Linked DNA regions of Caenorhabditis elegans. The protein of the gene in region 1 interacts with the protein of each later gene in a pairwise test. Each region holds a gene or a part of one and is shown on either strand. Other genes may lie near its edges.

What was found.
Region 2: the proteins of cnp-2 (region 1) and C09G1.4 interact in a two-hybrid assay, tested with the Caenorhabditis elegans proteins (one large-scale study listed by BioGRID).
Region 3: the proteins of cnp-2 (region 1) and sap-49 interact in a two-hybrid assay, tested with the Caenorhabditis elegans proteins (one large-scale study listed by BioGRID).
Region 4: the proteins of cnp-2 (region 1) and dnbp-1 interact in a two-hybrid assay, tested with the Caenorhabditis elegans proteins (one large-scale study listed by BioGRID).

What each region holds. Positions count from the first base shown.
Region 1 is NC_003280.10:12,756,749-12,766,958, reverse strand, and holds the start of cnp-2 (Calcineurin-interacting protein 2), read right to left. Parts: upstream 6,163-10,210; 5' UTR 6,139-6,162; coding exon 6,111-6,138; intron 5,704-6,110; coding exon 5,520-5,703; intron 5,185-5,519; coding exon 5,082-5,184; intron 4,306-5,081; coding exon 4,233-4,305; intron 4,190-4,232; coding exon 3,768-4,189; intron 3,472-3,767; coding exon 3,392-3,471; intron 3,337-3,391; coding exon 3,067-3,336; intron 2,020-3,066; coding exon 1,816-2,019; intron 1,769-1,815; coding exon 1,706-1,768; intron 1,661-1,705; coding exon 1,574-1,660; intron 1,203-1,573; coding exon 1,158-1,202; intron 1,114-1,157; coding exon 1,069-1,113; intron 1,018-1,068; coding exon 943-1,017; intron 891-942; coding exon 846-890; intron 799-845; coding exon 748-798; intron 701-747; coding exon 635-700; intron 592-634; coding exon 430-591; intron 386-429; coding exon 332-385; intron 10-331; coding exon 1-9. Other genes in the region: Y46G5A.8 (F-box domain-containing protein), read right to left, coding at 9,324-9,813.
Region 2 is NC_003284.9:15,992,807-16,000,270, forward strand, and holds the start of C09G1.4 (uncharacterized protein), read right to left. Parts: upstream 4,132-7,464; 5' UTR 4,116-4,131; coding exon 4,034-4,115; intron 1,633-4,033; exon of another isoform or gene 1,409-1,632; intron 926-1,408; coding exon 776-925; intron 308-775; coding exon 38-307; intron 1-37.
Region 3 is NC_003280.10:8,032,010-8,038,319, reverse strand, and holds sap-49 (Splicing factor 3B subunit 4), read left to right. Parts: upstream 1-2,552; coding exon 2,553-2,807; intron 2,808-2,856; coding exon 2,857-3,626; intron 3,627-3,699; coding exon 3,700-3,841; 3' UTR 3,842-4,070; downstream 4,071-6,310. Other genes in the region: C08B11.9 (uncharacterized protein), read left to right, coding at 176-224, 267-778; arp-6 (Actin-like protein C08B11.6), read left to right, coding at 974-1,050, 1,098-1,535, 1,578-1,733, 1,779-1,940, 1,986-2,409; nrf-6 (Nose resistant to fluoxetine protein 6), read left to right, coding at 5,618-5,663, 5,930-6,211, 6,253-6,310. UniProt on the Caenorhabditis elegans protein: Subunit of the splicing factor SF3B required for 'A' complex assembly formed by the stable binding of U2 snRNP to the branchpoint sequence (BPS) in pre-mRNA.
Region 4 is NC_003282.8:13,975,786-13,982,978, forward strand, and holds the start of dnbp-1 (SH3 domain-containing GRB2-like protein), read right to left. Parts: upstream 4,063-7,193; 5' UTR 4,055-4,062; coding exon 3,945-4,054; intron 3,897-3,944; coding exon 3,819-3,896; intron 3,745-3,818; exon of another isoform or gene 3,724-3,744; intron 3,639-3,723; exon of another isoform or gene 3,618-3,638; intron 3,373-3,617; coding exon 3,284-3,372; intron 3,197-3,283; coding exon 2,935-3,196; intron 2,811-2,934; exon of another isoform or gene 2,790-2,810; intron 2,704-2,789; exon of another isoform or gene 2,683-2,703; intron 2,149-2,682; coding exon 1,689-2,148; intron 1,636-1,688; coding exon 1,171-1,635; intron 1,063-1,170; exon of another isoform or gene 1,042-1,062; intron 877-1,041; coding exon 762-876; intron 709-761; coding exon 587-708; intron 542-586; coding exon 392-541; intron 341-391; coding exon 235-340; intron 183-234; coding exon 52-182; intron 5-51; coding exon 1-4. Other genes in the region: gei-18 (GEX Interacting protein), read right to left, coding at 5,302-5,392, 5,437-5,629, 5,754-6,051, 6,109-6,278, 6,340-6,444, 6,681-6,738; tor-2 (Torsin), read right to left, coding at 6,899-7,193.

The DNA.
Region 1 (10,210 bases):
GAATTTGTTCTGAAAATGGGAAAATTATCGATTTTTCGGAAGAATTTTTCTCCGGAATTAATGGGATTTCTAGCTTCCCTCATAAATTGAAATGGAAGAGTTTTCCGAACTAGGCCAATTTGGCTGGGGCATATCTGGGGTAGATTTACGGCGCGTTGCGTGTTGCGTCGCGGCTCGATTTTAGTTTTAAAACTAAATGATTGTCAATAGAGCGCGAAAAATTCAATGAGGAAGGCCAGAACCCCGTGGCCGGAATCAGAAAAATTTTAGAAAATATCGATTTTTCTTTGAAATTATCGATTAATTCATCGAAAAATATCGATTTTCTCACCTTCCAGACGGGCGTCTCTTTGGCGAAGACGGGCGGTGCGATTGTTGGTAGGCTCTGCAAAAAAATCGATAAAACTTCAATTTTCAGGTATAATTTACCGTTCTTTCTCTGGATTATTGTATGGAATGTGCACTTCAGATGGGGTATGTGGGGTACTGACACCACGTGATAGGTACCTTGACTTCTCCACCCTGTCGCTTGGCGTTTTTGAGATTCCTCGGGTGTAATGTAGCTCGGGGGTCTCCGAATTGCGGGGTAACCTGGATTTACTACTATAGGACTACTGTATAAAAAAAAACTTACGACTTTTCTGATGGGGTCACCGATTTGTGGGATCTATAAGACGACCGCTCGGATTGCTGATAGGCTCTGAAATTTGGATTACTGTAGGGTTACGGTAGGTTTTGCTACTGTACCTCTCTTTTTCAGGGTTATTGTAAGGAATGTGAATATCCGAGCACGGAGTTCTAGAAAAATTTGGTTTTTTTTTTAAATTTTTGGAAATCTACCCTACCTCTCCGACCTGGAATCCTGATTGCTAGGAGTCTTGGAAATTCCCCTGAAAAATTATCGAGGTTTGCCGAAAGCTCCCCGAGTTAAAAAAAAATTACCTGGTATACGGTAAGTCCTCCTCCCTAGCCTGATGATCCCCCGGAAATCGGTTCTGCTGACTTTTATCCGCGAATCTGGAATTTTCGATAATTTTATCAGCAACTGAGCTCGGCAGTTTCAATCACCTTCCATAATCCAGCTCCTCCGGGCTTTGGCGTTTTGCAATCGGGCTGAAAATTTTTTTTTTAATTTTTAGAAATTTCTCAAAGCCTACCGAGTATGTGTAGTTGTCACCGGGATACGGACCTCTGATGGGCTTCTGCAAAAAAAAACCGAGAAATTGTATGAACTAGTAGCTCGCCTAGGCCTAATCCTAAGCCTGTGCCTAAGCGTGAGCCTAACTCTAACTAGGGAACCCCGTAAATACTTGGTGGATGGCATCAACAAAAAGTATACTAATCGAAAGTTTATGTTAAGCCTGAGCCAGAGCCTAAATCTAAGCTTAAACCGAAGCCTAAGCCTAAGCCTAAGCCAAAACCAAAACCTAAGCCTCATCCTAAGCCCAAGCCCAAGCCTATGCCAAAGCCTAAGACTAAGCCTGAGACTAAGCCTGAGCCTTATCCTAAGCCTAAGCCTAAACCGAGGCCTACGCCTAAGCAGAAACCGAAGCTAAGAACGGATCGACCGTACCTTTCAGATCTATGAGACCTGCTTGGCGATCTCTGACCTTCCCGCTTCACATTGTATTCTCGAACACTCGGAGTCTTGGAGATCCCTCTGAAAAGTCTTTCTATACAAATGTGTGCCCAGATATTTTGTCACCTAGTATATGGAAGTTCAGGGGTCTCGGAATGAACATGATGACGATGGTGGTGACGTGGTTCGCTGCAAAAAAAATTATGATTAAAAATGTGCTACATATCACTTTTTACCTCCTGTCAATCGACCTGCGATGCTCACTGTGAGCTCTGGATATTGCTGATCCTCTGCTCGAAGGAACTCTGACGTTTGTCACGGTTTGATGATGTGGCATTTTTGGAAAAACGACATCCATATCGATTGATGACGTCTCCTCCACTACGTGGATCGGAATTGGACGCTCTGTGCTCACTGTAGAGGTGGTTTTGCCGAGGGATCTGGAACTGAATATATTTTGGAAGTGGTGCTGTAATGGGTACTGTAGGATTACTGTGGCTGTATAGTACTGTAGTGAGACTGTAGGGGTACTGTAAGGGAACTGTAGGGATACTGTAGGGGTACTGTAGGGGTACTGTAGGGGTACTGTATGGGGTACTAATGAAGTAGGGGTACTGTAAGGGGTACTGTAGGATAACTGTGGCTTCAGATTACTGTAGTGATATTGTAGGATTACTGTGGCTTTCGAGTACTGCAGTGATACTCTAGGGGTACTGTCGGGATAATAAAGGGTTATGGTAGGGTCACTGTAGGGGTACTGTAGGAGTACTGTGGGGATGCTTTAGGATCACTGTGGTTTTAGAGTAATATAGTGATACTGTAGGGCCACTGTAGGGGTACTGTAGGATTACTGTCGAAATAATAAAGGGGCATGGTAGGGTTACTGTAAAATAACTGTAAAGGTACTGTAGGATACTGTAGAGGTGCTGAGTGTCTACTATGGTTTTAGAGTACTGTAGTGACACTGTAGGGTCACTGTAGGGGTACCGTAGGATTACTGTCGGAATAATAAAGGGGTATGGTAGGGTTACTGTACAATAACTTTAGGGGTACTGTAGGAGTGATGTATGATTACTGTGGTTTTAGAGTACTGTAGGGGTACTAATGGATTACTGTCGGGATAATAAAGGGGTACATTAGGGTTACTGTATAATTACTTTAGGGGTACGGTAGGGGGACGGTAGGAGTACTGTAGGATTACTGTAGGGATACTGTAAGGGGTACTGTTGAAGTGCTAGAGGATTACTGTGGTTTTAGAGTACTGTAGTGATACTGTAGGATTACTGTCTTGATAATAACGGGGCACAATGTGGTTACTATATAATTACTGTAGGGGTACTGTAGGGATGTTGTATGACTACTGTGGCTCTATTGTACTGTAAGAGTACTGTAGAAAAACGAAAAACTAATGGATTACTGTAATTTCGGCAATGCCAAAATCTTATTCTATCTCAAAAATGTTTAAAATTTTCCGAAACCAAACAAACCGTTTACTATGCTCCGAAATTCTAGATTGCCTGAGCGATTGGCTCCGATGAAGTGGCACTTGCACAATTTCGTGCTCTTTTCTGAGAATAGAGGTTTGAGTTGGGAAGCGGCGGCTGGTTGTGGTGTGCTCCATCGTTTTCGGGTTTTCGCTTGAGGGAATTCTTGAAGTTGAAGTTTTTGGAATATTATCAGTGACTGACGACGGACTTGTGGAAACACTACGCGATAATATAGTGTCGGAGCGGGATGGGCGGAGCTTCGTTACTACACTGAAATTGGAGGTTTTTTTTTGAAGTTTTTAGTCAACAAGGACAGGTGACTCACATATTTTCGTTCTTCTCAATTTCAATTTCGTCCAACTTGTATGTAATTTCTACTGGAGGGTGTGGAGGCTTGAAGTAGACCTGGAAGTTTGTTCTTTTTTGAAAACCATTTTTAAAAAATTAAGAGGCACCACGGTTTCAAGATATGGTGGGATTCCGGATCTACGTTTTCCGGATCTACCACCGTAGATCCGGAAATCGTAGACTCGGAAATCATAGATCCGGAAATCGTAGATCCGGAAATCGTAGATCCGGAAATCATAGATCCGGAAATTGTAGATCCGGAAATCATAGATCCGGAAATCGTAGATCCGGAAATAATAGATCCGAAATCCCACCAGATCTTGAAACCGTGGTGCCTCAAAATTAGGACTCACATTAATCTTCAACTTATCGCAATTCTTCTTCTCCCGAACATCCTCTCTCCCCGGTGTGAACGGGCGCCCCGTAGTTGAATCCACGTAGACATCATGTGTGTACACATAACGTTCACGATCATCAAGATCCTTCGCTGGCTCGGAAGCTTCCGAAGACGACGAGGAATCGATGTGTCTCAAGTGACTGAGCTCGTTGTTATTCCGAATCGTCCTTTGGGAATCCGCCGAGGAGACTTGTCTAGGAATATTCCGATTTTCGTCCTTCTTCTGCATTTGCAAATACTCTTCGTACATTGGAGGCTTCTTTGGCAGGGCTCCGAGTGTCCTTGAAGAATCTGATGGGGACAGTGTGATACCCGAATGGTGCTGGTGACGTGGCGTGTTCTTTTCGGGTGTCGGAGGGATCACCTGGTAGGTTGGCACTGAAATTTAGCAGTTAAAGAGGAAAAAACTGAATAAACATACATTTTTGCTCCTTGAGCTCCGGCTCTTTCCGTAGTGGCTCGTAGTCTGGGGTGACCGATCGGTGTGTGTATTTCTGTAATATAACATATTTCTGTCTTACTTGTAGTTTGTAGTTTGTTGTTTGTAGTTTGTAGTTTGTATAGTTTAATCTACACTACAGTCAGCAACGAAACTTTGAGAGTTGTGATTTTTTACCATAAATTGTTCAGTTTTGCCACTTTTTAAAAGTTTTTGATGGGTTAAACCTAGATTTTCTGAATTCGGCATATATGAATTTCCCGTTTTCAACACAATTAGGCAATATTTTATTTTTGCCCAATTTTTTTCAGCCTGTCCTTTTTGTTCGTTTGACTGTCCTTTTTTGGGCAAAAAATTTTTTAAAAAACGAATTTAAACAAAACTACTGATAACTGAAAAAGGACAATTTTTAGGGTTCTGAGATCAATTTTGAGTCCTCTAACTACAAAATTAACCATGTTAGAGGAGTTTCAAAATTGTGAATTTTTGCCAAAAATTGCCCAATTTTGCCACTTTTCAATAGTTTTGATAAGATAAACCTAGATTTTCTGAATTAAGCATATATCCGCAAGAATTACCCGTTTTCAATAAATTTAGGCAAATATTTATTTTTGCCCAATTTTTTTCAGCCATCTAATGACTGTCCTTTATTTTACTAACAAAAAAAAAGCTTTAAAAAATTTGACCGTGTGGTAGAGTTTTGTAGATTGTAGTTTGTAGTTTGCTGTTTGTAGTTGGTAGTTTGTAGTTTATAGTTTGTAGTTTGTAGTTTGTAGTTGTAGTTTATAGTTTGTAGTTTATAGTTTGTAGTTTGTAGTTTATAAATCTTACCTCTACTTCGTGATAGTCGTACAGTTCAGTCATAACATCTGTGAATTGTGCAGAAGGGACACGAACAATTGGGTAGTTTTCTGGGGTCCATGTGTTTTCGCGGCTGGAAATTTGTTTCAAATTTTGGATTTTAATAGTATTCCAACACTCCAAAAATTTTCAGATTTTTCAAAAATTTGAGTCAAAGTTTTGGTAAAATTCCAAATGTTCTATGAATTCGGAAATTTTTTTGCCCCGATTTTCGTTTCTTTGTTTCTCAACTTTGACAGCTCGTATCTCAGTTCTTTTTGAAGATAATGAGTAATGGTAAACTACAAAAATATAGAAAAATAGTTGATAAACATTTTATCAGTTGTCAATTTTTTATACAAATTAGGAGAATTGAGATATAAGCTGTCAAAGTTCTCACATTTTTGGAAACATTTTTAAAAAACCTACTGCCTAATCAACGGAGGTGTATACTGTGGTGTTGCTCGGGGATTTTCTTTAAGAATATCCAAAATTTCTGGAGGAAGGTCTGAAGCTGGACCAATTGGAGTATGGGTTATTTCCTTGGTGTACAGCTCTGATACAGCATGGTAGGGCTCTCGATCCAGGGGTCTAGATGATGTAGATCGGGATCCTGAAAATTAGGGGCATAAAAAAATATTTGGACTGTATTAGGAATAAATATGGGAATATTTTTCTAAAATTTTGTAAAAAATCGAAGTTTCAGATTTTTAAAAAATATGCATATAATTTTAAATTGCGAAAAAGATCTTACTTTTAGCCTTTTACAATAAAATGTTTAATAGAATTTTCTGTACTTTTGAAAAAATAAATTTCAGTCGTTTCCAATTTTTTTCTGTTTTGAATTTTTTGTCCAATTTGTATATAAAAACTATTTTCAACAATTTCGATTTTTTAAAATTTTTTTCAGCATATTTTACAGTGTTTTTTGACAAATTTTGGAGAAACCTGAAAGTACTTACAATTAGTTTTAAGTCAAATTTTGAAATTTTGAAATTTTTAATTTTTAAAAAAACTCACGGTTATAACTATCATATCCACGGTTCATCTTTTTCAAAAAAACTATAAGCTCCTGAAAAAAAATAAAAAAAAAAAAATAAATAAATAAACGTACAAATTTTTTGCATAAAAAAGACCGCATAAGAAGAAAATTGGGGGGAAAATGTCAAGAAAGTGGGAGGAAATAGTGGAAGACAGGAGGGCATCAAGTTTCGAATTTCATATATATTCACATGCCAAAAAAAAATTGAGAAAAAAGTACATGATATATATTTTTTTAAAAAGGAGAAGACTTCTGAAAATCGGTTTTTTTCTAAATTTTTTAAAAAAATTAATTATTGGAAATTTTTTTCGAAATTTCAAAAAAGATTTTAAATATAGAAAATCTATTTTAAAAACTATTGTGGAAAAATAAATAAATAAATAATTTAGATGTTAAAATATCTTTAGAAAACAGATTCGTAGAGATCTTAGAAATTCCAGAAAAAAAATTTAAAAAACATTTGTTTGCAAATTTTTTAAAAATAAAAACAAACCCAATTTCAATGAATTTTCATACATTTTCTAATAAAACTTATAACATAAAACTACATAAAAAGTAATTTCAAACGAACATGCATACATTCCAAAAGTGCTCAAAGAGAGAGAGAAACATCCAGTGGGCTCGGCGAGCCCGCCGAGAGTAGGATCATCCTCTCCGCCCCGGGTGCCGCTAATTCCGAAAATCTGTTGGTTCTTCTTTATATATGTATATGTGTATACTAGTAGTCACCGTGTGCAGCATATATGTGTGCAAAAATTTCATTTTGAATTGAAAAAAAATCCAAAAAAAATATGTGGGGCTCCTGTGAGCGCTGAGATTTTTAGTAAACATAAATGTTTTTTTTTTCGAATTTTTTTTTGGGAAATTGCATTTTTTTTTTGTTATGGAATATATAGAGCTTTTAGTCAACATAAATAGTTCTGAATTTGAAAAAAATTTCAAAAAAAAGTAGTTTTTCAAGTTTTTTTCCGACGTCCCTCATAAACTGAAATGGAAGAGTTTGCCGAACTAGGCCATTTTAGCTCGGCCATATCTGGGGTAGATTTACGGCGCGTTGCGTGTCGCGTCGCGGCTCGGTTTTAGTTGTAAAACTAAATGAAGTTGTCCGTGTGGAGTACATGACTTTCCCATGCGTTGTCCGGCGGGCGATTGTCAATGGAGCGCGAAAAATGCAATGAGGTAGGCCAGAACCCCGTGTGAATTTTTACAACAAAATAATACAGGAAATCTTTTTAAAAAAAGTGAGTTTAATCCCAAAAAACTACTATTTACACAGAAAAAAAAGATAGTTTCAATGACTGTTTTATTTGTTTTTTCGACAGCCCACCGCCAGAACATGTGTAAACGGACAAAAAAAAATTATTAGAAAATAGAGGGAAAACGAGGGATAAGGCTACTTTGAAGGTTTTTCCTGTAGGCGAAAAAATGGGTCAAACATGTGAGAGTGACAGGTACTTGAGATTTTTCAAATGAAGTGCCGACACTAAGATTTTTTGCCTCGAAGAGTAACAGCTTTGACTGTGAAATTTAGATTCAGAAGCACTGCTTATCCCTGAAAACTGGGTTTTCCATGAATTTATGGGAATGTGTCGGTTTTCACACAGAAATGAGGCTACAGTAACCTAAATTTAAAAAAAAATCAAAAAAAAATAAAATTTTTCAGTGTATTGATTACCAAATTCAGGTCTAAAAGCATTCTGAAAAATGAAATATCCGGCAAAGCGGCGAACCGGCAAATTGCCTGAATTGAAAATGTCCGGCAAAACGACAAATCGGCACATTGCCAGTTTACCGAATTTGCCGAAAATTTTTGGCATATTGTGAGAATTGAAAACTTCCGGCAGACCGGCAAATCGACGGAAATGAGAAGTTCCGGCAAATAGGCAAACCGGCAAATTGCCAAAAATCAAAATTTCCGGCAAATAGGCAAATCGGCAAATTGCCAAAAACCAAATTTTCCGGCAACTAGGCAAACCGGAAATTTGCCAAAAAATCAAAATAACCGGCAAATCAGCTAATCGGCAATTCGCCGAAAATCAAAACTTCCGGCAAATCGGCAATTTGCAAAATATCAAAATTTTCGGCAAATCGGCAATTTGCCAAATATCAAAATTTCCGTCAAATCGGCAATTTGTCAAATATCAAAATTTCCGGCAAATCGGCAATTTGCCAATAATAAAAATTTCCGGCAAAACGGCAAACCGGTAAATTGCCTAAACAGTAACCAAAAAAGAAAAGAGCTATACATAGAAAACATCTTTAACTTCTATTTTTTTTTTGAATAAAATGTCTTCCAAAAAGCATCTTTAAGAAAATTGCAAAAATGTGAGACTACCTTGGCAACCCCGCCTATTGGCAAGAAAAGTGACGTTCCGAAAACGGAAAATCGTAAAATATACTTCAAAGTGAATGTTTTATATGTTTGGACAATGATGCATTCACTTTTTGATTCGATTTCGGCTTTTTGTGTTGTTTTTGGTTACTTTTCATCATGATTAATTGCATGATTCAGTTTTTTTTTTTGAATTCTGATTTTGTGAACGTCTGCTAAAAAAGGCAGGCAAAGAAAAACTTCCGGCAAACCGGCAAATTGTCAAAGTATCGGATTTGCCGGAAAAACTGCAATGGTCGAAAATTTTTGGCAAATTGTGGTTTTGCACTTTTTTTTTGGAAATTTGCAAATCGGCAATTTACCAAAAATCAAAATTTCCGCCAAATTGGCAAGTTGCCTGAAATGAAAATTTCTGGCAAATCGGCGAATTGCCGGAAATGAACATTTCTGCCAAATCGGTAAATTGTCTGAAATGAAAATTTCCAGCAAATTGGCAAGTTGCCTGAAATGAAAATTTCTGGCAAATCGACAAATTGCCGGAAATGAACATTTCTGGCAAATCGGTAAATTGCCTGAAATGAAAATTTCCGGCAAATCGACAAATTGCCGGAAATGAACATTTCTGGCAAATCGGTAAATTGCCTGAAATTGTAATTTCCGGCAAATCAGCAAATTGCCTGAAATTAAAATTTTTGGCAAATTGGCAGACCGGCAATTGCAATTTGCCCATTAAGATGCCGTCCACCCCTTATTAGTTAGATCATAAATTTATACATTCAGAATGCAAAAAAAAAACTAACATATCTGACTACGAATTCACTATTAAAAATATTCATTCAATGTTAGATATCAAGTAATTCTAATATTTCCACAAGTAAACAATAGAAAAAATTACAATTAACAAAATCAAAAAAATGGGATAAAGAAATGAGAAACGGACGAAGATAGAGAGGAAAAGAGATGAGAAAATATAAAAACCGAATAATGCATACAAAAATTCACAAAACTGTTCATATCTCTGAGTTTTGAACACATTGGCCTTTTTTCTCAGGAGCATTGTGACAATTTTGTGAATCTCCACTTCTTCATCTCGACGTCTTATATCCAGATTAACGTGCTCAACATGTAGATTATCCAGGAGGTCACTGGTTGTTCCCAATAGTCTATCAATATCTCTTCCTTTATATAATTCCGTACAACGATCAAATCCAATTCGAGAGCCGAGAATAAAATGGTCTCGACGTGCAATTATATCAAGCTGGCACAAATGCTTGGGACGGTCTGTGAAGCGTCTTGCAGACTGCTGGACGAGGTTCTTCGTTTTTTGAGATGTTACTCGGAGTGCACATCTGGAAATATTTCATTGTGAGTATGCTCTATTAGTCTTTTTTTTTTCGGCAAGTGCACAAAATTGGCTTATTTCAACATGATGATCCAAATTTTTTGATCTAAAATTAATATAGAAATGTATAAAATAGGTTGTTCTATCTGAAAATAACATTTATTTTAGTTGAAAAGTTTGAAAAAGCCATCAAATAGTGCCTGAAAGTTTTCCGAAAAAAAACTTTAAACGGGACTTTTTCTGCAAGCGGCAACTTTCGAGTACTCTTTGATGACTTTTTCAAGCTTTTTAACAATAATAAATCTTATTTTCAGATAGAACAACTTATTTTCTACACTTCTATATTAATTTTAGATCAAAAAGTTTGGATTATCATGTTGAAATAAGCCAGTTTTGTGCGTTTA
Region 2 (7,464 bases), on another chromosome or scaffold:
AAAAGTTTAATTTATAGAATTTGCAACCCGTGCTCACCTGAATTCATCAGCATCTCCTGTGGATCGTTTCTCGGCGAAATGTGTGTGGAGGAGGTTCCGCTTGACGTCGACGCGCCGCTGTCCACCTCATCGGCGAATCTGACTCGGTATTTGGCCTTCGTGGCCGTTGCAGGTGCTTGCTGTTGGGGTTGCAGTGGTAGCCGTCGGGGTGTGGTGCTGTAGCTGGCAATCTTGCGCGCCGAGTTTGGCGTGAGGTAGTCGGCCGATGAGTGACTACGGTAGTTCTGATATGCTCCAGGGGGGAGATCTGAAAAATGTGGAAGGTGACTACGAAGATGTAAGGATTTGATAACAAAACAGTACCGCAGTTCAAAAATTTTTTATTGACAATTTCATCCACTAAAAACTATGCAAATATTGCGCATGTATCGTGTTAAAAATCGACATGGGCCGTCCAAATTTTTAGCAACACTTCTGAGTTTTTTTTGTAAATAATTGAACCGTTTATAGAAACTCTTGCCCTCTCACGGGAAGTTAAGGCTGTCCCAATACAGTTTGATCTACAAAAAATGCGGGATTTTTTCCCTAAAAATTTGTATGTGTCAAAATGTGTCAGCACGCTCTTGGGCCATGCCAAATCAGATGAGATGTCTGCGTCTCACCTTCCGCATTTTCTGTAGATCAAAGCGAAATGAGACTTTCTGACTCCACTAGCAATGTAACTTTAATCTTCCTTTTTGCCTCAACATTAGAAATACCAATACCATTATCTCACCTGGTATCCTCCTCTGGGAGTTCACTTGCTGTCCGTTGACAGTACCGTTAAACCCTGTTCCACCAAACCCTGCAGCTGCTCTCGGTGAACCTTGATCACAATCTGCACTTATGCCACTGTCCGTGTCGCTGTCTTGTGGGGTGAGATACCCTGCAAATGAAAAAAAATATGAAAGTGCAATAACCTCTGCTATTTCATTTACTTTACTTTTACTTCTCCACCTCCTCTCTCTTTTCTATTTCTCACGGCCTTAAACCAAAAAAAAAGGGTCTGTTTGGGGGGAAACGCGATATGTCCGCATTATAAATGAGATAAAATGAAAATGAAAAAAATGGAAGTAGGAGCTGGAGCGGTAGTAACCGCCGACAAAAAAATGAAAATGTATAGGCGAAAAGAAACTGCAAAAAGTAGCAGCAGGAGAGGAAGAAGAAGTGGAACGTGACGTTTTTTGGTGGCGGCAGCAACAAGGGGATCAGGAGAGGAAGAACAATGAGTTTAAAGCATGTTTGGACAGAATTATTGATGACATCTACCGAAGAGTAGAGAGCAGGGGAGAAGAAAGAGGACGGCAAAACGAGAGTGCAACACCCCATCCCTCACTAAAAAAAAGTTTTGGCACATTTTTCTTTCGTTTTTTTTTTTTCGTCCACTCCCTCGTGCCTGTTAAGGGTTGAAGTGGTTCGGTTCGACCACACGGAGAAGTGAGGCATGCTCTCGAGGAGCACTGGGAATGCCTATATCTTTGAAAGTCTGAAGTCTGAAGAAAAACTGAAGCTCTTTGAAGCCGATCTGAAAATCTTTTGCATCATTTTCAAATGGTGTCAGGCTGTCCTAATACAGTTTGATCTACAAAATCGGCGGGAATTTTTTTTTCAGAAAAATGTGACGTCAGCACACATGGTTAGCCATACGAAATCAGGGGAAAAGTTCTCCCGCATTTTTTGAAGATCAAACCAACATGGGACACTTTGACCCCACGTGGTTTTTTTTATCAAACAAATCAGTGAAAAAATTGTTTTGCATTTCTAAAATGGTTGACTGTAAGTATATTTTTAAAGCAATTTTAAAGACATCGGAAGTAGAAAAAAAGTGCTGAACATTTCAGATTTACTTTTTTCAGCTCAATATGCTTCAGTTGAGCTTCATACTTTTTCAGTATACTGTTCAAAAATTATATTTCAAATCAAAAAGGTTCCAATCAAAATTCCAAGATCAAGCTCAAGTAAACACTGGTAGCGCTACGATTCTTTGCCCTCTTCAGCAACCAATGATTATTTTCAGAATGGGCTCTCCGTTTACACACTCAAAAAAAACGCGCAAATATTCTGCATCATGGGCGCTGTCTGAATGCTCTTCCTCAAAATGCAATAAGCAGGAATGGGTTGCGGGCAAAACGCAGAACGCACTTTTGTTGGGGTTTGTTGGACCAAGATCAGCACATGGTGCCGAGCTAGAAGTGTAAAAGTTCTGAATGTGTAGTACTGGGCTCTTCGGGAGCAAAAATGAAAAAGGCACACACACATACACAGACATAGTCTCGCTTGAAAAGGTCCACGAACACAGAGACTTGGCATTTGAGATGGGTTACAAAAAAAAACGCTGACCGCGCGCCGCGTCACTTGCTCACTTTCCGTTTTTCTTATTTTGAAAAGCTTGTCGTTTTGGTGTGTATGGCATGTTACACTGAAACTGAGAAAACTTGACGCTTTGTGGTGAGCGACAAAAAAGGGAGAATTACTTTGCAATTGAAAGCCAGAGATCAAATATCTGTTAGATTCGCTTCAAAATTTTGGAATACAAACGCACAATTTAGCAGTTAAATTCAATTGCTCCAAAAAAAATTTTTTCTACACTAACGTTTTCAACACTAACTAAGAATTACTCAAGACTTACCTAACGTTTTACCTAATTTGAAAACATTTATTTCACAGAGACGATTGAAAAGTTTTAAATAGCGGAAATGCGCTCCTAAAATTTTAATAGAGTTTGTTTTGTTTCAATGACTTTCAGATCTAAATTTTCCGAAATTAGTTCTTGCAGACTATTAATGGCCACTGGAGTTTTGGGGAATAGGCAAAAACGGGTATTATTTAAACATGGAGTAGACACTCATTATGATCTAAAAAGACCAAATATCTTAATAATACAATTCAAAAAATTTCAGGCTTTTCATAATTTCCGGTTAAACTTTGGCAAATTTTCAGAATTTTGAAAAATAAGAGCTTTTGAAGAAATCCAAAGCAATTTCACATGTTCCGGGCCCTACAATGTTTTAATCCAAATAATTACTGTATAAAAAATGTAGAAACATTTTTTTGGTCGACTTCCAAAATTATGATTGGCAAAAACTGAGTAATTGTCACTTTTTGACAATAAATAAGTTTCATTATGATATGTGGTCATTTTGGGACCAAAGGAGTGGTTTTTAACAACTTTCCCACTGGCGCTACTCCACTTTTAAAGAAAAATAGCGAAAAAATTTTGCAATTTTTTAAAACATTCCGTTAAAAAATACCAAACATTTTACCGAAAAAAATATAATGTTCATAATTTTTTAATATGTTACTTTGAAAATTCTGCAAAGACCGATTTCGGAGCATATTCACAATTCTAAACAAAAATAAAAAAAAAAAAACTCCAGAAGTAGTTACGTGTTTAAAATATCTTTCATATTATGAATATCTGTATCCATAAACTGTGGCTGAACTGAACTCATAGAAACATGTAAAAAACATAATTGTGCAAAAATGGCTACACCACTGCATTCGAAAAAGTACGTTTTTGAAAAATTCATAATTTGCCTCTTTTAGCTCGGAAATAATTCATGATGAACGAATACTAAATGACTAGAGCAAAAAACAGGAAAAAAATTGTTCAAACGGTTAAAAGAAATTATGTATTACATAGTAAATGTTCCAAAAAAAACGTGAATAAATATTTGTAACCTGTTTTTTAAGCAACAAGCGCCAAAAACATTTTCCAGTCGATGCACCATGTTCGAAATCTAGTATTCCACATTTATTTTAGGCATATGGTAGGTAATAACTTTGCTCTTACAAAAAATATTAGAAACAAATCACAGAAAAAAAACATTTTTTGCGAAAAAGACACGTATTCAAAAAAAGGTACGTCTATTGAAAATTCATAATTTTTCCCTTTTCTATTTGTAGATGACGAGCGAATACTGAATGACTGGTGCAAAAAAGAAGAAATTAATTTTGAATTTGGAAAAAAAAGTGAGAAATAATTATGACGTACCTCCTTGTTGATAAAACTGGCCACGCCCCAAATTTCGAGGTTTTGGTGGGGGCATTGGAGCCTGCCGATTTCCAGAAGACATTGTGATTTGTGTCTCTGAAAATTGTAAGTTTATAAGAGAACAATTTGAAAAAAAAGATAACATATCAGAGGTAAAGAAACAAATGATAACATCAAAGACCTGATGGGATATAATCGGCCTAGTTAAGGTATGTTCTCAATTTTTGGGGGCTGCGGAAAAGTAGGGGAAAAAAAGAAGGCGAAAAAAAAGCGAGATGGACGTAAAGATGTGAAAAGTGACACTGTTAATTGGATATATATGTAAAGTGGACACAATCGTGACTGGCACTGGTGCACGTACTGACGTCTTGGAAGTTTTAGGTGTGTTTTGATCAAGAGTAATTAAATATATAAGGGGGCAAATAGCTCAGTCGGTAGTGGTGGCCGCTAGCAATCTGGAGGTCACGAGTTCAAGTCCGGCCTCACTTCCTAGGTTCACCCAGCCCCTATTGGGAAGTGGAGCAATCCAAGACTGGATTATCGGCCACAGTCCCCGGCTCGGACGTGGCTTAAATTACAACCCAGTGGGATCACCACCAGGCAGTGTACCTGAGTCCCAGATCCGCAGTGCATAGCACTTGGAGAACGGATCGTCCTTTGACCCTTTAATCTTTAAATAGTGAAAAATAGCTACCCTCGTATTGTTAGAAATATCGGATTTTACTATGATGAGTAAGGAAACTGATTGAAAGAGCATCGGAAAAAAAGATTAAGAGCACGCTTTCAAAAATACAGCTTTCTTCCAAAATAACCAAACAATGCACCTAAAACTTTCTATTAAAAAAAAACAAAAAACAACTTGTGTCCCCATTGACAATTCAATGTTTGAACACCAACTTCGGCATTCGAACTTGAAGCAAAAAAAAAACAGTTTTTCTTCACTACTATCTCTAGAATGCACACCATTCGTGGGCACACCGACCTAATAGAACTGTCCCCAGGGACGGATTGATCACGAAAAGGAAAAGGTCATACAACACACAATGCAGTCGTTCAGAACAATGTGATAACAAGAAAAAAAATAGAAGAGTGGGTGTACAGAAGAAAAGCAAGGAATGTTCTGGAAAAGTGAAAAAAAACGAACTTGAATACAGTGTAAACATTACATAGAACTAGGATTTTTTGGCGAAAACATAGAAATGGCGAGATTGTTCAGAAGAGACCCCAAAAGCTTTTGATGATAACTATTAGGACCTCCATGGAAGCGGCCGACACTTTTCGGGTTCCGCGCAGCACTAAGCAGGAGGCGCGGCTCGCGGCACGAGGCAGACGTCGCCTGCATGAAAGCCCTAATATTTATGTTTAATAAAACCACTGGTATTGCAAACTTTTTCGTGATTGTCATTGGGTTTTAATTTTAAATTGAGGGTAATGACTATAAAGAGGACTATGAAAAATTTAACTTCAAAATTCTAAACTTCAAAAACTACCGCAATACCAAAAATGTGACTCACTTATGATCAGTATCTGAACCGCCAAACCCATTTGCATTATTGCTTGGTAATCTAACACCCGAATGGCGGTAGACACACACACACGTCAAAAGTTAGGGTTCCATCCCGTCCCCCTCTCGTTAAACACATGTTTAATCTCGCCAGATGGTTGTGATGCCTTAGTGAATGATGTACTTACTCTTAAGCGACGAACTTCTCTTTTTGTGCGAGCCGAAGCAGCAGGATGTACGTGATGTATCAGGAAACACATAAATCTATCGCGAAAAAATGGGGAGAAAAAGAAAGAAGAAGAATACTGAAAATAGCGAACAAAACTAAAGATTGATAATTTATGCAACGGGTAATAGATAATGGGTAAAAAAATACTTTTCAATTTGTCGGAAAACTTGTAATAAATGCGTTCCGATTAACAGAACTAATAGTAAGATGTTAAATTATTTCGCCACAAAAAAAATCTGATAGGACCATCTATGCACGTCATACCATTTTATTTTTCAAATAGTATTTCAAAAGCCGAGAAAAAAATAGGGGCTCACTATAGTTATCGTATCATAAAGCTTGATTTCTTCGAAAAAGACCGGAAACCTGCTAGTCCCCTCTGATTGTTAGTGACGCGTTTCATGATGCACTCCCTCTTCTCCGAGACTTTTCTCTTTTCAAATGTTTGTACTGATTTGAATTGAATTGCCATTCCATATCAGGAATAGCTGAGAGGGAGTTTGGGTGTGGTGGGCTCGGTAAGTTTTGAACTGGCTGGATTGTTTTATTGAACTAGGAACTATTAGCCATTTGAAAACAGTCAACGATTTTTCTATAAAAAAGTATAACATTTGTTCAAGTATATCTTTTTAGTTTGCTGTACTCATTGAATTTAGTAAAAAACAGAAGAAAAGCATCAGAACATTTTCAGAGAAACTGAAATAAAGTTTATATATAAGTAGGGTATATGGATTCTAAATTGGCATGTGATCAGCAAGATCTAAAAAATTTAAATTGAAAATTCCAAATCCTCCAAAAAATTTCTACAGTTTAAAATTACCTTAAAACACCAAACTATGAACTATTCTAAAATTAACTCCGTCATTTCTTTCTGTAAAGGAAAGTTAAAAGTGGAGTAGCGCCAGTGGGGAAAGTATTAAAAACTACTCATATGGTGCCCGGAAGATTGAATGTCATAATAAAACGTTTCAAAAATTTTTTTGAAAATTTTTCATTTACTGTCAAAAAGTGGCAATTACTCAGTGTTTGCCACTGATAATTTTGGAAATCGACCAAAAAAAATTAGTTTTTTCTGCATTTTTGATACTGTAATTTTGTTTTAATTATTTGTATTAAAACATTGTAGGGGTCGGATCATGCGACAATGCTTTGGATTTCCTCAAAAGTTCATATTTTTCCAAATTTTGGCAAATGAAATCATATCAACCAGTTTTCTCATCTCAAAATTAAAAAGTAAACTTTACATGCTGGGCATCCCCAGACGCTGAAAAATGTACCACCTATTTCGTTTGCTATTCAATATTTCTTAGGTTTTACGTTTTCAAGTAGGAATAGATGCATATTTAATGGGCCCAGGAAATTAATATATTCAGTGATCTTTGGCAGAGCCGGTTCTAAGTTTGCACTGAAAGAACATGTCTACCGAGATGACAATAGTTGAGAATTTAGGTACAGAATCGATAATATTTATGTTGATTTGCAATATTTAAAGGTGGAGTAGCGCCAGTGGGTAAATTGTTAAAAACCACTCCTATGTTGCCAAAATGACCAAATATCATAATAAAACTTTTCAAAAATTTTTTGAAAATTTTTTATTTACTGTCAAAAAGTGACAATTACTCAGTTTTTGCCACTCATAATTTTTGTAGTCGACGGAAAAAAATGTTTTTTTTTCTACATTTTTCTACTTTAATTTTG
Region 3 (6,310 bases), 4.7 Mb from region 1:
TTGATTGTTTTTGTTTTAATATCAGACATTAAATTTATTAGTTCAATAATTTGTTTTTATATTTGCATCATTTCTGGTCTCAATCCGTCCAGCCTATTTTCGATTGCATGTGTTTTTAAAGGCCTGTCACAGCTTAATACAAGATTAGTTACAGATGGAGATAAATGAAGTAGAAATGGCGAGTGATATGCCTCTTGTCCAGCTTCCACAAAGAGGAGAAAGAAGTACGAACAAATTTTGATATCAATAGTAATTAAATTTTTCAGTAAACGTTCCTCTCGTGCAGTCCCGAAGTGAAGATCAGCGCCTTGTAACCAGTGCTCGTCAAACTGACAAAATTGATGCCGATGATTTGGTCGCGCTGGCAAATCAGTTAAACAGTGCCCGCCAATTGGTGAAAGGAAGAGCTTGCGATCGTCTGAAGCAAATTGCCGATCAAATGGAACAATTACATATGGCAGCTCGTGCAGTTCTCGAAGATGCTCAACGCGATGAGCATTTGCATAACGTTCCCTGTAACATGGAGAAGCAACCTGGCCGAATTTACCATTTGTACCAGAAGCAAGGAAGCATGAACAAATATTTCTCTATGTTGGCTCCTAACGAGTGGGGATACCAAGAGAAGAAAGAAGAATATCTTGGATCATATCGGTTGGAATATGACAGAAGCTGGACTCCTGTAGGAGAAATGGATCGTAAAGACGAAGAAGTCGCTCGTCTTCAGCAACTTCTTCAACGGGAAGGACCGGTCGCCTTACGTGGGAATCCTAATTTTTAAGAAGCATATGTAACATTCGTAAAAACGCATAGATTTTCAATTCAATTCCAATAACCGGGTTGTTTCTTGTGTGCCTGATACTTTCATGAATATTGTGATAATTCGAAATTATTTGTTATCTTATAGGTTACCACCCTACTCTTAATTTTTTATCTGGAAAAATCACACTACTCATTCTGTGAAATAATTTTGTAGATGAGTTTAACAACAATTATTTTTGACAATGGTGGCCATAATATGAAGATAGGTACGATAGACTCAGAGTCCCCTAGGTTTGTTTCTAATAAGAAAAATATCAATATAATTTAAATATTTTCAGATTAGTTCCAAACAGTATTGTGAAAGCGAAACATGAAAAGAAGCGGGTTTTTGTTGCACACGAGCAAGAAGAATGTTCGGACAAGTTTTCGCTATTCTATGTGCGACCAATTGAAAGAGGATATGTGGTGAATTGGGATACACAACAGCAAATCTGGGAGAAAACGTTCGGATCTATGGATGTGGAGGCGTCTACTTCTCGAATTGCACTCACAGATAATAACTATCTAATCCCAGCTCTTCCTGATGTCTCTAGTGAAATATTGTTTGATTATTTCGGCTTCACAGAGGTACACAAAACGTCTGCTTCGACTTTGGTGGCAAAACATTCAAATAAAATCAACAACGAAAAGTGTGCAGTTGTTGTGGATTCCGGGTTTTCATGGACTACGGTAGCTTCATTTGTGAATGGAATGCTTATTCAGGATAGTGTTATAAGGTTGGAAAGTGTTTTCAAACTACAATTAGCTTTATTTTTAAGGATCGATGTTGGTGGAAAAGCGTTAACAAATAAATTGAAGGACTGGGTATCTTACCGACAATTGAATGTTAGCGAAGAAACATACGTTATCAACGAATGTAAAGAGGATCTTTGCTTCGTCTCACAAAATTTTGATGAGAGCATGAAAGAGGCTAGGTAGGTATAAAAATGAAGAATACTAATTATATTGTTTTTATTCAGGAATCGATTTCAAGAAAATACAACAATGAAACGATATATTATGCCGGATTTCCACTCGACATTCCGAGGTGTAGTGAAAGACGTTAAAGAGCCACACGATCCACAAATTCCTTCAATTCATTTGGGAGTTGAGAGATTCGCCATTCCGGAAATCTTATTCAAGTTAGTAATTTCGGCAAAAAGTATAAACTATTTTATCTGTTGCAGTCCCTCGGATATTGATATTGATCAATGTGGTGTCGCAGAAGCTGTTATCGAGAGTATTTGTCAATGTCCAGAAGCATTACGGCCTGCTCTGGCAGAAAATATCATCGTGATTGGCGGATCGTCGTGCTTCCCAGGATTTCGTGAACGCCTGGAACGAGAAGTTCGATCAATGCTGCCAGCAGAATATGGATTGAATGTTTCAAATGACGTAATAAACCCACAAACTCATTCCTGGCATTGTGGTCAAGAGCTTCTCACTGCTTCTAAAGTTCCATGGATCAACCGAAAAGATTGGGACGAACGAGGAGACTCGTTGGAGTTCTCTAACTTTTTCCAGACTCTTGTGCAATCCGATGAACTGAAGGGAACTCGTAATTTCGATGATCAGAGGGAGAAATCCCCAAAGGAAGATGAAGATTTCTGAACTGATCTCTTATCACTTTAAAATAAACATGTTTTATATATATATATGCCAAAATATTTTTTTTTGAGATCAGAGGTTTATTTTCCTTTGTTGGACTTATTTTTTTTCATGTGCTGTTCATTTTTTAAAAATCAATATTTCAGATGTCAGCAGGGCCGATAGTGGAAAGAAACCAAGATGCAACAATTTACGTTGGTGGATTAGACGAGAAGGTGTCAGAGTCCATCCTATGGGAACTTATGGTACAAGCAGGACCTGTTGTCAGTGTCAATATGCCGAAAGATCGAGTAACTGCCAATCATCAAGGTTTCGGATTTGTGGAGTTCATGGGAGAAGAAGATGCAGATTATGCAATCAAAATTTTAAACATGATCAAATTATACGGAAAGCCAATTAAAGTAAGCTATCAAATATGTTTAGTTTATTATTTAAAAAAATAATATTCAGGTGAACAAAGCATCGGCTCATGAAAAGAATATGGATGTTGGTGCAAATATTTTTGTTGGAAATCTGGATCCAGAAGTCGATGAGAAATTGCTATACGATACGTTCAGTGCTTTTGGAGTTATTCTTCAAGTTCCAAAAATCATGAGAGATGTTGATTCGGGAACGTCTAAAGGATTCGCGTTCATCAACTTCGCTTCATTCGAAGCTTCAGATACAGCATTAGAAGCTATGAACGGCCAATTTCTTTGCAATCGAGCTATCACCGTCTCATACGCTTTCAAGAGAGATTCAAAAGGAGAAAGACACGGAACAGCAGCGGAGCGTATGCTGGCTGCACAAAATCCACTGTTTCCAAAAGACCGGCCACATCAAGTATTTTCTGACGTTCCACTTGGTGTTCCAGCTAACACACCTTTGGCCATGCCAGGAGTTCATGCTGCTATTGCTGCTCATGCAACAGGACGCCCAGGCTATCAACCACCACCATTGATGGGAATGGCTCAATCTGGATATCAAGGACAATATCCACCAGTACCACCACCTCCACCAAGTGTGACACCAATGCCACCTCCAATGCCGCCAACGCCAGGAATGACTCCTCGTCCACCACCACCACCATCATCTGGAATGTGGCCGCCACCACCACCGCCTCCACCAGGAAGAACTCCAGGACCACCAGGTATGCCTGGTATGCCTCCACCACCACCACCATCACGATTTGGTCCTCCAGGAATGGGTGGAATGCCGCCGCCACCTCCACCAGGGATGAGGTATATATTTTTGTTCTAAGTTGAAAATATCGTTCATGTTCACCGTTCGAACTTACACAATTTTTCTTTTCAGATATCCGGGAGGCATGCCGCCACCACCACCGCCGCGATATCCTTCTGCTGGACCAGGAATGTATCCACCTCCACCACCAAGTCGTCCTCCAGCACCACCATCTGGTCATGGAATGATCCCACCTCCACCACCTCCATCATAATTACTCGATCGGATTGGAATACCTTAATCTTTATTTTCAGAAACTTTTGTTTTTCACGAAAAGATCTTCATTTCAGCTGTTCTAAACTTTTACATTTTAAATTATTTCGTTTTATTCTCATTCCATAAACCAATTTCTATTTGATGTCAATTCAACTTCAATCATATTCCACAACCATCATCTCCTCCTCTCTCTTATCAATCTCATCACAATCACACCTTTCTTTTCCAATTACCACTTCGATACGTCAAGTCACGTTCTTCAGCGGTTTTTTGTTGCATTTTAATGTTCTCACACAATCTGTACGCCTTTTTCCACTATTTAAGACATCATTGATGTTCGCTGGAGCGGCAAATCCTATGAACTATAGGCAAGTTCAACGCCTAATAGAGACGTAGAGTGTAAGTGAGGTTTCCGGGAGAATTCGTCTCGCACCTTCCTCTCATTGATTCTATCAACGAACGGAACGAGTTAAACTAAAAAAAAAAGTGTAGAGAAATAGAGAAAGAAGGGGAGAGAAAGAACATGGACAATGACTGTATTCAACCGGAGGACACACCAAAACTAATTAGTCACCCGAAAACATCACCTACAATCATCACATTGCTTCTTCGCACTTTTTCCAGAAATATTATTCCAGTATCATTTTGATTTTCTCCAATTCAGTGTTTTTGTGTTGTAGAATTTTCAGTTTATTATTTTTGGAGTTCCGAGAGTATCTTCAGTTCAAATTTTGCACATTTATCTCCTTATTTAAATGAAATTGCTACTACATTCCTAGAATTTATGAACAAATGGAATAATTTTTATTAGGAATTTCTCGAATTATGATTCATTCTTCCATTTTCCATTCATAACAATCGTTCGTTTTTCTTGCATTTGAAATTTCATTCGTCAGTAAAAATTCTACAAAACAACATTGTTTCAAATAACCTGTTATTTATATAATTTTTAGGATGAGTTTATGAGCTCTAGAGGAAGAAACCAACTTTGCCCGTTTCCAATTATATAATTACAGTACTCAACTTTTCCAATTGTTCGTCATATACATATTTCCACACCAGAACTCATTTATATATATTTTGCAACGCATCAATGTTTAGCTTTCAAAAATTTTATGATCTAGAGAAGTTAAAAAATCACAAAATGTCGTAGTTAAAAATTGAGGACGTTTTATATACTGTTACAAAGTGTTACAAAGTAGCAATAATTCAGTTTTCATGTACTTCTTATAATTTTGGAAGTTCACTAAAAAAAAGTTACACGAGTTTTATGTTCAATCTATATCTTAACTATTCTTATTTGAACACTGTAGGCTCAAAATTTCAATTTTTCTGACAGTCTGGCATTTTGCCAAATCTCTGACTAAATATTTTGGAAAATCCACAATGCCGTGTTTTATTCAGATATATTGTCTTATTGACCTGCTGTGACTATATTTTGACAAAACTCTTGAGTTTCTAATTATACTAATGATTAGTGGTAACCCTACATATGTTATCTGAAAACCCCACTGATTCTGTAAAACGAATGTCCTTTTGATAGGTATTTCTTTTTGTTTCTGATACAATATTATATTATACTAGGGAGAGAGACTTAGACTGCCAAAAAATATTCCTTATCATTATAAACCTTTGTGCCTTGATTGCCTTCGAGCAAAAAAAACCGCCGACACTTAATGATTGACACTTATTCGCCTAATCTGTTCAATTCGTTTCACTTTCTTGCAACTTTTCATTGCCTTCCTGCTGCTTACTTTAAAACTTACAGATCAAAATGGGTAACATGCGGAGGCTGTTGATCTTTGCTGTTCTAGTAATATGTAAGGATAAATAATTACATTTTTAATAAAGAAAAATTACAAAAAGATCAAGGAAATTTGAACTGTTCATTACGATTACAGTAGATTAGAAACTTTCTCGGATGTTTCATGTTTCTTTTGTTGTGTATTTTGGATTTTGAACCATTTTATTTTATCTTAATTTTATGTTTAACTAGTCAGATATTCCATTAATTATATTCAAAAAAAAAACAGAGTGGCATAATTAATTAAATTCATGTTAACGATTAAAATGTTTATATTTACAGTAACCGTCATATCCAATTCAAAATCGAGTTACAAATATGATGGTTCATTGTTCTCAAGTAAAGAATTGGATTATGATGAGACAGACACTAAAGCAATGGGATCCGTTTTTTCAAGATATATGTCAGATTCCGATGCTCAGCTAATTCTTGATCTCGACTTTTTCCGTCATTTTTTCAATTACGCAGAAGCTTATAGAGATGGAGCTGAAGAGGGAAATCTTGAATTAATGAAGTATGCTGTTGAAATGGTTGAAAAATTAAAATCATTTGATATATCAATGGGTTAGTTTATAATGACTATATCTTTAACAAAAAACATTTAGCTTGCGTTGGAGACATGATGCACTTGGCATGGACTGGAGTAGAATATGCAACTCATGT
Region 4 (7,193 bases), on another chromosome or scaffold:
GGAGCTGAAAAAATATTACTTTAAAATTGTAAGACAAAATCTGAAGCTCACCAATTTGACAACACCCAGTGATGATCCCATTCGATACGTAAACCGATTCGATTTCTTTTTCAACGAATGGAATGTCATTTTGGAAAGCATTTCTCCGAATGTTTGCTTGTCGTCGGACATGTATTTTTGAGCTGGAAATGTTAGAGTTAACTTTTCAAAATTTTTTTCAAAAAGTGTACGCACTGAGCTCTTTCCTTCTCTTCGACTCGTTCATTTTCTGCCCAAGATTCGACATTTGCTTGATGGCTTCTGTCAATTTTGGATGATCTGTGTGAACAAGTGGGGTGAGCTAAAAAATTTAATGAGTTAGGAATTTCTTAAAGGCCATTTTTTCTAAAACCTTGACAATTTCATTCAGGAAAAGCGGATATTTGGTGGCTCTTTGGATGGGTCTCGAAACGGCAGTTGGTCCGTCAATAACAACGGATCCACTTTCTCGCATACGTTTAACAATATCCTGAAGTGCTGATTCCATAGTTTTCTCATGTTTCTGAAATTCATATACTTTTAATTTTAACAACAGGTAAAAGCTTACCGCCGAGTTGGTAAGAGCATTGATATGCTCGATATTTCTAAAGTAAAAACCATAAGTTTGAGCAAATGGTTTTCGAAGTTGTAGGAAGCATGCACCGATTAGTTGAGCATCTTGTGGTTTGACTGAAAACATTTTAAAAAAATAAAATACTGAAAACTGGAATTTTAGCACTCACTCTGCTCATTGGTGAGAAGTTGGACAAGATTAGCCGAGAGCTGTACAATTTGAGCACATCCATTTTTCAGAATAACCTTTTGCTTTTGATTCAGGAGAGGAGTTCCGTCTACAGCCTGGAAATTATTTTTGATTGAAATGTGATGATTGAATAAATAATAAACAACACACATCGGTGTTAAAGCCATTTTAAGATAGTACTTAATATATTTTCTCAACAGGAGAAAAAATTGCTAAATGGCGAAAATTTCTGAAAAGATCAATTGCTGAAAGTAAATGAAAGTAAACGCCCAGACGTATTAGTGTCATAGACTTTTCGTCAGACTTTAAATGAAAATTTTGAAACAGTATAAAAATTTTTGAAGATAAAATTGTCGATTGCTGAAATGCCGTGCACCCCTGAACTATACCTCTGTATAGGAATTAATATCACTGATGAACTGTAGTTCCGAGCTTATCAACTCCTCAATGATTCTGCATCGTTTATCCTCATCATTTGATGCTCCTTCGGTGGCGGAAATCAGTCCAATTTCGAAGTCACTGCCAGCAGACTGGATCGCAGGGTTACTTGGTTTTGGAGTATCTGTCATTCCAAACATGTCAGCCACGTTGCCAATATCATTGATAGGTGATTGAATAGAACTTTGCTTAGGAGGTGGTGGTCGGGCTGGAGCTGAAGTCTTTGCTAGCTGAACTGGAGCAATCCATTCTTCGCCGAAGGTTGCCCAATTTTGGGCAGGTTTTGATGCAGGCGCTGCCGGTGGAACTGCTTCAAAGGTTGCCCAATCGGTGTTTGTTCTTCCAGCGGGTGGTCTCCAATCGGATGAGGATTCAGCATTTGAGATGAAGGAGGAACGATTGTTGGAGCTACCAAACTGAAAAAAAATAATTGATTTAACTATAAAAACCTATTTTCTTCAAGTCTCACCGTAAAATCGCTGGTCCCTCCAGTTCCACGCCTCATAGCATTTGAAGATTGATTATCGTCATCTTCTTCATCCAGATAAACTTCTAAAAATCCTACAGGTACAATTCCAGTCTTCTCTGTATCTGGATCCTTGCACATAACCCATTCATCATTGACCATTCGTAGTACTCGAACAGTGTCTCCAGCATTCACAGTCAGCTCATCTCCTTGACGACCGGAAAACGCGTGCCGAACATTCGCAAATCCGATTCCATCATTCTCGGTGGTCGTGCTTCGTCGGTTATTTTGAAGCGATGTAGTGTCATCGTCAGGTAGATCAACGATGATTTGAACGAAAGAAGTGGGGAATATTCCGACACGAGCAGATCCTATCGATCCTTCAAGCCATTCTGCATCGATTCGACGACGTAAGCTGATGATTTCGTCGGCAGAGAAAGAGAGCTCGTTTTCAAATTCGCCTCTGGAAAATATATAGATAAATTAGAATATTGAGAAGATTGAAATGAATTTTGAAACTGAATAAAAACACATTATTTATCCTACTTTGACGTGACAATATTTCACAATAAGATACAGTAGTACTGGCCAAAAAAGTATCCATTTTAAATGAGTATAACTCGAGAACTAGGAATGTTATTGAAAAATGCTCAGCCAACAAAAAATTACCTATAACTAGTTCTACTTGTTTTCATAGACCCAAAACAGTCATGACAAAAAATAAAGCGTCAGATATTTTGTGAGTCAAGATTATTACTGCAACTCAAAAACCACATTTTTAATGGAAAGTTTGTAAAAATAAATTAATCTTCATGTAATATTTTATTTCTTGCACGTGCTAACTTTTTTCTTTACAACGGCCATGATAAAATCATATTTTAGTTATGTATTTTAACCAATTTAATCCAAAAATTTGTGAAAAAATCGTTTAAAAAGGCGTAACACTTTTCCCGTTTCAACTGCCATATATATTTTTTCCTGACTTTTTGGTTTTTGATAGAGATGTGTTTAATGCAAATATTTGGCATATTTGAAAAGTGATTTAAATATTGATTTACTGTTACGCACTTTCTATTAAAAATTTGGTTTTCGAGCACAATTTAGTGATGATAGCATTAAAATTGGTAAAAATTAGCGAAATTATCAACGAAAAAAAACTGAAAGTGGGCACCACGTTGGAAGACAAATTTTTTAAATGTGTTTTTGAATTTGAAAAAAAAATTTCAATTCATTAAACGTAAAAACTCACTGAAAATCATAAACAGCTCTAGCGTACGGCGACACTGCATAATTCGAAGTTGCCGCTTTCGGAGCAGTGGCAGGCGTCCGAAATCGGACATCAGCCTCACTGAAATCCGTGGTGAATGACGGCTTCATCGGACTTTCAGCAGAAACATGCAAATTGACCAAATGTGCCTCCGGTAACAATCCACGGCGTCCTATTTGAACAGCGTTGTCATTCACCAGGAATCCGTCCAGATAACCAGGATTTGAACGCGACGGTTTTGCTACTGAAAATGTGATTGATTGATAAAATTGGTTAGTTAACTGATTGGTTGCAAAAATTAGAGAAATAAATTGTTGGAAAAAGTATATACCAAAGATTGAAAATTCTGCAAATGAGAGATCATCGGAGCGGATAGAGGTGTAAGCTTCAATTGAGCAATACACCTGCTCGTCAGGTTGTCTGCAAGAATATAGAAACAGTCTCAGATAAAATGAAATGCATATTGTTATTTCACAAAATTTTGCCATGCTATTTTAAAGGCACACGGGTTCATTCAGATAGGTCTCGGCGCGCGAATAAGTTTGTGGTAGTCTTTTTTTCGTGTTAAAAATTATTTCAGTGCTCAAAACACAGAGAAAATTTGTATTAAAATTTTTTTCTGTTTCTCGGTCAGCTAAAAATCATTTAAGTTAAAAGGAAATCGATAATCTTAAATTATAGAAAAAGAGTGTATTTGTACTTTGAAAACTGATATTTAAAAACAAAGCGGTGAAATTCGCATAATAAACGAAGAAACAATCGCAAAATTTTTTCGCGCCGAGACCCATCTAAATAAATCCGTGCGCCTTTAAGAAGGAATTTCAAAATCTTGTGAAACGACAATCTTTTAGAGAGAAAGCAAAAACCTTTTCGGGTCGACGATGGGCAATGTAAGAACTCTGGGAACCCGACCGGAAACCCCTTCGATGGTTTGAATGTGACACCTAGAAATGTTAAGATTTTATAAATTGGCACTGCCACGTGGCACTGACCAATCCCCCTCCTCACGGACCACCTTAACAATCTGATCTTGGGCTACAGAACACCGCGTTTCGGGATCTTGTGTGGCATTTGAAATTCTTACCCACGAGAGGTGGGCCATACTGCAAAATTTTGGAAAATTTGAGAAAAAAGTGTTCAGACGCAGACGGAGTTAGTCAAGCTTTTTTTTTGAAAATTACATCAAAAATTCAATTAAATTTCCAATTTTCGAATAGAACACTAGTTCCTATTGCAAAATGTTTATAGTTTCTATGGTGTTAGATTGGATTTCGTCAGTGAGACGAGAAACTAAACAATATTTTTATAAAATAAACAATTAGTAAGCGATAGACCAGCCAGAGACCAATTTTGTGAAATTTTCTTTTTTTCAAAAATTCCCAATTTTTAGCTAAAAACCCCAGTTGTAAAAAAAGGATTATTTCAATGAAAAGCCATCACAATTGAAACATGAAAAGTGCGTGTTGGGATATGAAAAATCGATATTCTCATCGAGAAGAAGACGTGCTGCTGCGACGTCGCCCGCCCCACCAGCCGAGAAATCGAAAGATGCAAGTTCGCTCTATCGTTCAACTACTTGTCATGTTTTGAGGAGACGCAACGGGATGAGGAGGGGGCAAGACACAACAAACACGCACACAAAAAAAAGCACTTGTGTGCACACAAAATTGAGGGAATTAAATCGAGGAAGAAAATGCCGAAAAAAACTGCAAAAAAAAACTAATAATGAGGAACCGAAAATGTCATCAATGAATACGAGTTTTTTGAAGAAAAAGGCTTTAAAATTGATGTAAATATTTTTATTTTTTTCGTAAACTGAACCCTAAATTGATAAACGGAAAAACTGATAAAAAGTTATGATGAAAAAAACAAACAGGAAAAAGAATTGTTTTTGTTTACAAAATATAGTTTAAATTTTAAATTCTCTGAGTTCGAAGAGGACTTTTTTTCAAAATCGTTTTGTCGCGCGGTCAGCCTTTGGTTTTGAGCGTTTCTGAGAAAAATTTGAGTAGATCACACGTAGATCATATTATATCTTCTTCTAATTTCACATTTAAATGTGCATTTCTATAGATTTTCCCTAAAATTTTGTGTGATCTACACTTGATCTGCCCTAAATTTTCACAGAAACACTTAAAAACTTGTTTTGTTTTCTCGTGAATAATATTTTTCTAATCAAAATTTTAATATAAAGGAACCAAATAAACATGAGGATTTTCAATTAAACAAATCTTTTGAAACAGTAATTTTTCCCGGTGAACAAAATTGCAGTAACCAAGTTTAAAAATTCCATATTTTTTCACAATTTCCAAGTAAACAAAAACTAAATTTTTAAACAAATAATTTTTATTATAAGCACATAAAATATGAAATCCTGGCTACAATTGGTGGAATATTGTCATAGTTTCCTCCATTTTCGATCCAGCGGTTCGTTACAAGCCTGGAATTTAATTGCTTTTTATTTTAAAAATAAAAATCACTTACTTCAAAATTTTCCCATCACAACTATTCCCAGAATAAGTAGTTTCTTCTGTTGATACTGCTAGGAGGAGTACAGTTTTTGGGATGGGAAAAGTTCCATGGTCCGCAAAGGCATGGAGCACTAAAACTGCATCCCATGCAAGAAGATCAATATTTGTCAGGACTGCTGTTCTAGGTGTCATTTGTGATGCGAGAGCTAAAGTGGTAAGTGAAATAAATTTCAAGAGATTTTCGGAAAAATACATTTACAACTATATAACGTAAGTGTCAAAAATGCCCAAAATTAATGAACTTGGTGAAACAGTTAAAAAAAAACTAACCATTGTTCAATATTGCATGTAGCTCTCCTCTTTCAAGTTGATTTCCAATTTCAATTGGTAAATTATTTGAATTTGTCTCTGATTTAGAATTTTGAATTGCCTTGTTTAATTTTTCAGAAAACTCATTAGCTTTCAAACCAGCAATAACTATGACAAGCGGAGCATGTTCATCTGGATGTAAAAACATTTGTTCACCAATTAATCTCAAAAGATTCCGATTTTCTTTTGAAATATCTGAGAAATCCGAATTGACAAAGGATCTTACTGATTCTATGTAGTTTTGGTAGGGGTTTCGATCCTGTAAATAAGCAAATTTATTTGTCGAAAGGAACAAAGTTATGTGGAAAAATCAAACCTGGTTTGGTTCATTTTGAAGCATTGAAAAAGTTCCTTGAGATATAAAAAAAAGTGCAGAGAGCAAAAGAATCAGCAGTGTCATTATTAAATTATTCGAGATTTCCCACTTTCTTGAAAATGTCTTTGATAATGTTTTGATCATATATTTTCTGTCGAATTGAACGGCATCTGAAGTAGCATGTATATTGTTAATAGTTACATTTCTGGACTTTTAGGGGAAAAAACTCACGGCTTTTTTCGGCAATGCACAAATTGCAAATTACATTTCCACCAGCAAGAACAATTTCCGTGTTTGACCAAATTTTCAAAGTGCAGAATTGGCATTGCGAATAATCTGGAAATCGTTACATTTCTGAATAGAAAACTACGGATTACATTGTAGGTAGATTTTTAGATAGGCCTTACCTACAGCAGGCGTTACGTTTTTTGCTATCTTTTTTGTGTACATATTGCTACCTATTTTAGAATCTAATTTTGCATAAGTTTACAATTTTTTAATTTATTCTAAATTTGCCTAAAAAATTAAAGAAAACAAAATTTTTTGGCGTTCTACAAACTTTAAAAACTCACACTGAGTTTTCTTGTTGAATTCCATTCCCATCGTTCCACTATTTTTCCGCGGAGTCATCTGAGGATGATAATGATATTTAAAAAAAAGAAAAACATGCATAAATTAACAAATTAATAAGTATTTGGAACTTCAAACCACTTAAAGCCTTAGAGAACACCGAACCATAAAAAATATTGAACACAAATTTATCAACATCTTGAAACAGGAGAAAATACTTTCACAACTCATCATTAAACTCTTTCTTCGAATTGAGTGAGAATCCCATCTTGGAAATTTCGAGATCAGTCTTTGCATTCACACGTTTACATCCTGACGAGGAAAATATTTTGCTAGATTCAGGGAAAAATTCAAGAGAATCAAGAACTCTTTGCATGAATTCTCCATCCTTTGCCAAATCATGTCTTCCGCGTTTTCGAAGATGTACTTGAATGCACTGGGAAACGTAGAACTTAGATAAGGGAAGAAATGGTATAAAATGATCAATAAGTTGATTAGAGATCATATCAGTGTTA